Macaca fascicularis: one gene and its partner. The protein of the gene in region 1 purifies or fractionates together with the protein of each later gene. This does not show direct contact. Links are inferred from orthologs where the notes say so. Each region holds a gene or a part of one and is shown on either strand. Other genes may lie near its edges. The genes, in order: NMNAT2 and FBXO45.

Evidence for each region.
Region 2: the proteins of NMNAT2 (region 1) and FBXO45 purify together in Homo sapiens (co-immunoprecipitation; 3 studies listed by BioGRID and IntAct, with this or other methods). This does not show direct contact. The link is inferred for Macaca fascicularis from reciprocal best matches to the Homo sapiens genes NMNAT2 and FBXO45.

The regions. Positions count from the first base shown.
Region 1 is NC_088375.1:40,953,157-40,957,562, reverse strand, and holds the start of NMNAT2 (nicotinamide/nicotinic acid mononucleotide adenylyltransferase 2), read left to right. Parts: upstream 1-1,458; 5' UTR 1,459-1,541; coding exon 1,542-1,761; intron 1,762-4,406.
Region 2 is NC_088376.1:1,968,582-1,972,904, forward strand, and holds the start of FBXO45 (F-box/SPRY domain-containing protein 1), read left to right. Parts: upstream 1-1,337; 5' UTR 1,338-1,651; coding exon 1,652-1,969; intron 1,970-4,323. UniProt on the Homo sapiens protein: Component of E3 ubiquitin ligase complex consisting of FBXO45, MYCBP2 and SKP1. Functions in substrate recognition but also plays an important role in assembly of the complex.

The DNA of each region.
Region 1 (4,406 bases):
AACTCTTGCCCTAGCCTACAAGCCCCATTTGATCTGGCCCTGATCACCTGCTGCTCAGTCTTCTATCATTTTTCCCTTTGCCCATATTTTCTAGCCACACTGGCCTTTCATTTCTATGAGCACAGTAAGCCCTTCCCTGTCCCTGAATATGTGGGCTAGCAACTACTCTTGTCGCTCAGGTTTCACTGAAATGTCACCTCCCCAGAGGGCCTTCTCAGACTACTTGATTCATCTCCTCTTCTCCACTCACTCTCTGCTCTGTGAGAGAGTAAATTGCATTCACTTACTGTGCATTGCACAATTGCCATCTAATATTTATTGTCTATCTTCCTCCAGTAAAATGAAGACAGTGACTTTGCTTCACCAGCATGGTTTATAGCAATACTTGACACACAGTGAGTCCTCAAGAAACATTTGTTAAATGGTCTTTGTCTCAACTTTGGTAGATTATGGAGGATCCCCATCATTTTCTTTGTTTTTCAAGATGGATTCTCGCTCTGTCACCCAGGCTGGAGTGCAGTGGCGCGATCGCAGCTCACTACAACCTCGCCTCCCGGGTTCAAGCAATTCTCCTGCCTCAGCCTCCCGAGTAACTGGGATTACAGGCACACGCCATCATGCCTGGCTAGTTTTTGTATTTGTTTTTTAGTAGAGACAAGGTTTCACTATGCTGGCCAGGCTGGTCTCGAACTCCTGACCTCGTGATCCACCCGCCTTGGCCTCCCAAAGTGCTGAGATTACAGGCATGAGCCACCGCACCCGGCGGATCCCCATAATTTTCTAATACAGTTTTAGTAACTCTGCCCCCTTCATGTTCTCTCAAATGGATAGCATTGCTTCACCCACAAAAAGGATCAGTATAGCAGAGGAAAGGTTGAGATCACCCCTATCTCTCTGCGGCAACAGATCAAGATTTGGACTCAATAGTTTGGAATCATCAGATAAGGGAAAAAGGAAAGGCAGAAATGAATGCTACTGAAATAAACAATGGTCATTTCTCACTTAAAATTTTGAGGAAGAGAGAAAGAAAAAAATATCTTAAGATGAAACATTTTTTAACTTGGAGATGTTAGAGAAAGTAGGGCGGACAGAAAAATGTTAGACTGAGGAGGAAAACTGAATCAAGATGAGGCAAGAGGCAGAAAGAGCCCACACCATGCTGTGAGCTTTTGGTTCCGAGCTTGGGTACCACGTCTTGCCTTCTGGATAAACTCTAAGGAAGAGAGTGATGAAGTGAAGCGGGCTGGGGGGATAGAAAGGATGGGGTGGGGCACCAGGACGAGAGACGGCAAGGAAGCTAGAACGAAAAGAGAGGGACCGAGGAGAGAAGAGAGCAGAGCAATACAAAAGCAGCCTCGGAGCTTGCCGGAGCTGCAAGCGTTAAGGGGAGGCGGAGAGTGACGCGGTTTGCGTCTGGAGCGGCTCCTTGGAGTCCACAGCATCCACCGCCGGAGCCTCGCCTTCCTTTCTCCCTCTGCAGACACAACGAGACACAAAAAGAGAGGCAACCCCTAGACCACCGCGAGGGACCCACTTGCACCATGACCGAGACCACCAAGACCCACGTTATCTTGCTTGCCTGCGGCAGCTTCAATCCCATCACCAAAGGGCACATTCAGATGTTTGGTGAGTCCTCCCGCCCACCTCTGGAAGCCGCTTCCGCTCCTCTCCTTTCCCAGGCACCTGTGTTTTCCAGGGCGATCGAACGGGAAGGCGTGTGCCCCATTCGGAGGGGTGCGCCGGCTGATCCAGCTGGTGGAGGTCGGCCCCTTTATTTTGGACTCGGGGGAGGGGAGGCAGACTGCGTTTCCGAGGCGTCACTTGCTGGGGCCAAGACCCGGCTTCCAGGGGGCCAAAGGTGGGGGATGGGAGAGGACTAGAGACAAGTGTCATTTGGGGCTGGGCAGGGGTTCGAGATACCAGAACTGGAGTGCGGCGGTGTGGTGGTTCGGCTACCAGGCTGGCGAGGACCGGGATGGGGGCAGAGGTTGGGGCGCCGAGTAGGGGGAGGAGGAGGCTGGAGATAACGTGCTGTTTGTTTAGGATGGGCCGAAATCTCCAAGGAGTTAAATCATGTATGTGCCTCGGATTCACAAACACACTCGCGCCCAACACACCAGTGACAGGGGCTGGGGCTTCAAGATTAATTTCAGATTTGGCTGGTGGTTCTGGGCGGCCCAGGGACGAGTGTTTGGGAATTGTGGGCCGTGTATTGCCCGTGCGAGGTGGATGCTGAGCGAATAGGGAGGGGGCCCTTTTCCGCCTAGGTTCGGCCTTAGGAACCCGCTGCCTAGGACAGGGAGGGGGCCGGGTGGCGGCTGCGGGAGGCCCTGCGGGAGCCGGAGCCGAAGGATCGGGGCCCAAGTTGGCTGAGGCTCTGCCCAGGGTGGCCATGGCACGCGGAAGGTTTGAGGCGTCTAGTGTGTGTATGAATGTGCGAATGAGTGTGTGTGAGTATATGCGTGTGCGTGTTGGGGGGAGGGGACTCATCATCGCGCGTTTGTTTCTTAGAAGCTTTGGGGCGTGGAGCCAGAGAGAGCGAGCGGGGGCATCTGGCTGGCTGGTTCGGGGTCCAGGAGCCGCAGGGGAAAGGTGATCGATGGATGCCTGTTGGAGGTCTCGCGCCACCGGTGGGAAACCACGCGGCTTCGCAGCTGCTAGTAGGACTCAAAGGAGCGGGGCATGAGCGTTTGGACACGGAAAGAGGGACGCGGAGGTCACTTTAGAAGCACGAATTGAGAAGTTAGAAGTTGGGGGTGCTTTTTCTTGAAACTGAGAGAAGCGAGGAGTAGGGAAGAATGAGTGGGCTGGGATGGATGAGAGAGCGGGTGGGAGGCCCTGACCTGGCCCGCCAGCGAGGCGCTCTCCAGAGGCGGCGGTGCTGAAATGCAGGGCGCGCCGGAGCTGGATGCGGGCACACGTGTTTATCCGGAGCTTGAGGATTGCGCGAGCCCTCCTGGGGAGGTTTAATGAGAACCACATTACAGCAGTAAAGACAGGGCGAGGTGGTTTAGGCTAAAAATATTCATCTTTAAACTTAAAAGGTGCGCTGAACTGGGATCGCTTGTTAAAAACCTCATGGAAAGAATATAGAACTACTTTGAGCAGAGGGCAAATCGGGTAGGCATATCTACACCATAGAAGGAGGGAGGCTGAGAAACAGCCATCCCTTCTTCACCATTCGTTCAGCTTTTAAAAGTCTTTTATTAAGAACCAATGCCAACTTGCCTGTTAAATAAGGACTTCTGTTCAAGCATCAGGGTAGACAAGAGCATCTCATCAGTCTTCTAAGGAATGTCAGTGCCCAGTGCCCTTTGATGCTGGTGTCTTCATCCCTTTCCTTCTTTTCCTGTCTGTCCATATGTCCTCTGGCAATTTATGTTGATGCACTTTACTCCTCTCCCTTGACCAGGCAATGATGGGTTTTCCTTTGGAACCAAGAGAAAGGAGGAGTAGGGAAGAGCCACTGGGCTGAGGATGAAACTCTGTGACTCTAAGAATCTTTGGTGACTCAGTGGGTACTACTCCTTTCTTCCTGGAGCTATGAAATCCCACTTATTTTAGATTACAAGAGAAACGGATTTGGATTGAGAACCAAAAATTCTGTCCTGCAACTGAAGATTCTTTGTTAACAGTAATAAAGGCTTTTGTTAAGCAAACACTGACCTGCCAATTCTCCATGAGCTTCAAGGATAGACTATGTGGAAATAGGCCTGAGTTGCAGTGGAAGGGTTTAGATATAGAAAGGTGAAAAGGAGACTTTTGGCAGTAGCGATTATTTACTTAGTGTAAGAACTGAGGACCAGGGCAGAATGTCAACAAAGTCCTTTGCATGTCCATTAAAGTATAATTCAGAGAGCAACACAAAAAAAGGATATGATATGTTCACTCACTATGGCTTTAAGGAGCTTATTACCTAATGAAGAATTTAGCACATAAACAAGTAAAAATGAAGCAAGAATAAGAACACAAATACACATTAAACTATTTTTGGTAGAATCTCTTATGTGAATCTTTGAGCTCTGGATAAATTTTATAATTTATTTTTGTAGAGCAGTTCTGGTTAACAAAACTTTTTCATCTACGTTAAGTTACTTATTCCTATTAACAACCTTATAAGAAATACATTATTACCTCTATTTTACAAATAAGAAACTGACAGAAGCCAAGTGACTTTCTCATGAACACACATGGAGAATAGGTGGCACTGAGACTTCAGCCTCATGTTCCTGATTCCTCTTGTAAAGGCCTTCATACTGCAACAAAGGCTGCAGGAAGTGCCCACTCATCTTCTGACTGCATAATTCCATGAACACTCTATTTTCATGAACCATAAACTAACAGAATTAAGTTGACCATCAACTAAGCGAGATTCCTATATATGCATTTCCTTAAGATCTTTGTCT
Region 2 (4,323 bases), on another chromosome or scaffold:
AACATCGGATCCTTCAAAGGTTCTACCTCGGCTGTACTGTGACAGGATAAAGGCCAGTCTTTAAAACTGAATGATCTCGAAACACTCTGCACCAGTCATACCACCACTGTCCCTTTCAAGTGCTTGTGCCTTTAAGGCTGTTCATTCTGTCTAGTTCATTATCTCGTTTTCAGATGGATCAACTCTGCTTATCCTCGAAAACTTAAAAGAAATTAGTGAGAGAGAGTCACCATCACCATAGTCAGCAGAGGTCAACTTTTCTTTACCGGCTTGGGGTTTCTAAAGCTGGACTTGATGTGGAGAAGCTGGATAGCAACCAAAATGACTGAAGGGCTGTGGCGCTGGCATTGGTAAGAATGAAAATTACGGTTACTGGACTTTGTGAAAAAGACATATGAGGAGAACGGACAGGCGAGTAATAATCAAACACCATGTATCAGAGGGTAGGGAAGGTAGCTGCCGTTCCTTTGCTTTTACTAGAGACTAAGAGATGGATATAGCTGTGTGTGTGTGTGTGTCTGAGGTAGGAGCTCACTCTGTCGCCCAGGCTGGAGCACAGCAGTCGATTATGGTTCACCAGAGGCGCACGCCACCACCCTCGGCTAATTTTTCTATATTTTGTAGCGACACGGTCTCTCCATGTTGCCCAGGCTGGGATGCTGAAATTCTTCCCCTTCCAAGAATCCATCTATAATCATGGCCTCCACGTCATTCTCCCTATTGGAATGTTTAATTGACTAAAACTACATTGCCTTCATCTGCTTACTAAGCGGTGGCTCCAGTAAAGGCCACACCTTGTCCAAAAGACAGAAGCAGTTAATTAGCACTCAAATGGCACTCGAAGGCGTGGGCGCGGGGGTGTTCAGTCGCAGCCACCTTACTTTCCGAAGGCACACAGGCACAGACGTTGGGCTAACTGCCGATATTCGGGGAGAACGAGAGGGCCTGACCAGGTCAAGACGGCCTCCGCTGCCCAAGCTACACAAAAAGGTGGGGGAGCTAGGAACTGGCCAGCAAGGAAAGAAAAGTTTCACGCGTTGAGTTGGAGTCTGAAGCAAGGACCTAACCGACACAGGGAAACGTCACAGGAAAGGGGGCCCAGGAGAGCAGACGCGGAGCCACCAGACCAGAAAGAGGAAAAGGCACTGGAAAGCAGCATCAAAGCCACCGGCCCCAGCCTCATACCTGCTCTTCCCGCTCCCCTCCTCGGCGCCCAGTGATGACCTCACCCGCCGGCGCCCAATCCCGTCGAGCGTAAGGCGCGAGGCGGCGCAGCCAAACAGTCACATCCGGGGCCGAGAGGAACCGCGAACGAGCTGGGCGTGCGCCCTTGCTTCGTGCCCTCAACCCGCATGGCGGAGCCACTGGCGCGCCGCGGAGAGGCCGGGCGAGTCGGGCGGTTTCGGCGCCCTCGCTGAGCCGCGGGGGAGGGGCGGAGGACGCCCGTGCAGCCGGTGCGTCTGCCCTCAGTGAGGCGGGGCGCGCGGCGGACGCCCCCGGGCAGGGGCGGGAGTGGTGGAGGCGCCGGCGGCTGGCACTGAAAGGGGCGGTGAGCGAGCCGCTCCGGTCTCCGGGCGAGGCTTGGCCTTCCGAGCAGAGACGGCGGGAAGCGGCGGCGGCGGCGGCGGCCCTCGGGCCGGCTGGTGAGGCGATGGCGGCGCCGGCCCCGGGGGCTGGGGCAGCCTCGGGCGGCGCTGGCTGTAGCGGCGGCGGCGCGGGCGCGGGCGCGGGCTCGGGCTCTGGGGCCGCGGGGGCCGGGGGCCGGCTGCCCAGCCGGGTGCTGGAGTTGGTGTTCTCTTACCTGGAGCTGTCCGAGCTGCGGAGCTGCGCCCTGGTGTGCAAGCACTGGTACCGCTGCCTGCACGGCGATGAGAACAGCGAGGTGTGGCGGAGCCTGTGCGCCCGCAGCCTGGCAGAAGAGGCTCTGCGCACGGACATCCTCTGCAACCTGCCCAGCTACAAGGCCAAGGTGAGAGAGCCCCGGGCCACACCGCTGCCCCCAGTCCCGCTCCCCGGCGTCGTTCCCGGTGTTGCTATCCAAGCTTCTGAGTCAGACGCCTCGCCTCACCAGCCCGCCTTTCCACGGCTCCAGTCAGCACCTTCCTCACCTCCCCCCAACATAAAGATTCTCTTTTCTTTGGATCGAAGTTCTGCTCCTTAACCCACCCCACTTCCGTGATCCACTTTTCAAACAACTAGGTAGTTTGCATCACTCATTCAACTTTTGACTGCTTTCCCCGTTAAAGACAGACCACCACTCTTGTACCTTTTAATGCCCTCATCCTAATTTTCCCCCTGGCCTCCAAATAGACTTCATTATGTTAAATAATCCCCGCTACCTTAACAGGGGCTTAGTTTCTAAGTTTCTAGTTTGCTTTTACTCCACGTTTATCTCATCTTTTCCAAACTCTGATTTTTAACCTTTTTTTTTTTTCATTATTTTCCCCCAAGTTCTCTTTAGTTCCCTCCACTATATTTGAGGCTCACAAGTGGGTGTAGTCCTAGTCATCCTGCTCACTTAAAGATACAGGCCTTTATAGAACATCCACGGGCACCACTTAACATACCGCTTTGTCCTACTGTTGTTGGCTGTTTCCTTGCTAACTTTTTAATAGTTCCACATGGATGGCGTGTCTCTCTTCTTCTGTTTGTCATCTAAGGTGCTGATTACAGTTTCGCTGCGTCCTTTTTTTTTCTCCTAGATTCTTGTGCGTATTCCGCCCGTCTTCATATACAAAATAAAAATGTCAAGAACAGGTTGTGGTAGGGCTGAAAGGATTCTCAGGCCATATAAACAAAGGGTCTTGGCCTTGGGTTCAGCTTAATGGTTAACAGCTGTTCAGTATAGCAGTCAACCAAGATCATATATAAGAGAAGATAAAGTCTGATTGCAATGTAGTAAACATAATAAATGCATTAGTAACTAAAAGGATAACATCCTTTTTTTTTTGTTTTTTTTTCTTTTTGAGACGCAGTGTAATGGCATGATCTCGGCTCACTGCAACCTCTGCCTCCCGGGTTCAAGCGATTCTCCTGCCTCAGCCTCCCGAGTAGCTGGGGTTACAGGCATGTGCCACCACACCCGGCTAATTTTGTATTTTTAGTAGAGATGGGGTTTCTCCATGTTGGTTACGCTGGCCTCGAACTCCCGACCTCAGGTGATCCGTCGGCCTCGGTCTCCGAAAGTGCTGGGATTACAGGCGTGAGCCACCACGCGATAACATCCCTTTGTTATACTAGCTTGCCAACAGGGGTCGGAGTAAGAAGTAAAAAATTTTTTTTCATGTGAAGCATGTAAAATTTATACTTCTATAGTAAAACTGGTTTTAGTTATAGAAGACAGGGAACATTGCCATTAAATATGTCAACTATCAAGTTGTTTCTCTTTTCTTTTTTCTTTCTTTTTTTTGGGGGACAGAGTCTCGCTCTGTCGCCCAGGCTGGAGCGCAGTGGCCAGATCTTGGCTCACTGCAAGTGCCGCCTCCCGGGTTCAGGCCATTCTCCTGCCTCAGCCTCCCGAGCAGCTGGGACTACAGGCGCCCGCCACTACGCCCGGCTAATTTTTTGTATTTTTAGTAGAGACAGGGTTTCGCCGTGCTAGCCAGGATGGTCTCGATCTCCTGACCTCGTGATCCACCTGCCTCAGCCTCCCAAAGTGCTGGGATTACAGGCGTGAGCCACCGCACCCGGCCTCGAGTTGTTTTTCTATTAAGCAAAATAACAATAATTTACTAGGACTATTTGTGCATGGTGGCTATTCAGTGGATACTGGTTGTAATTTATATAGGTGAGTGCAGATTATTGGAATTTTGTCCTACTTTTATAAATGTGTAGGTTTCATAAATTTTATTTAGTTTTTATTTTTCCATAAAGCTTATTGTTTTTACTTATTTTAAACTAGGAGTTTTTGTTGTTGTTTTTGAGACAGGGTCTCACTCTGTCTCCTAGGCTGGAGTGCAGTGGCGCAATCATAGCTCACTGCAGCCTCAACCTCCTGAGCTCAAGTGATCTCCTTAGCTTAGCCTCCCAAGTAGCTGGAACTACCGGCATGTGCTACCACACTGGCTCCTTTTTTATTTTTCACAGACACGGGGTCTCACCTTGTTGCCTGGCTGGTCTCAAACTCCTGGGCTCAAGTGATCTTCCCACCTCAGCCTTCCAAAGTGCTGGGGTTACAGGCGTGTGCCACTGCACCCAGCCTAAACTAGGAGTTGTTGTTTTGGTAATTGACTTGTAATAGAAATGTTCACATGATTCAAGAATCATAATATGTAATAGATAATGTGTCGTGTGAGTCAAGCTTCAATAGAAGCAAAATAATAT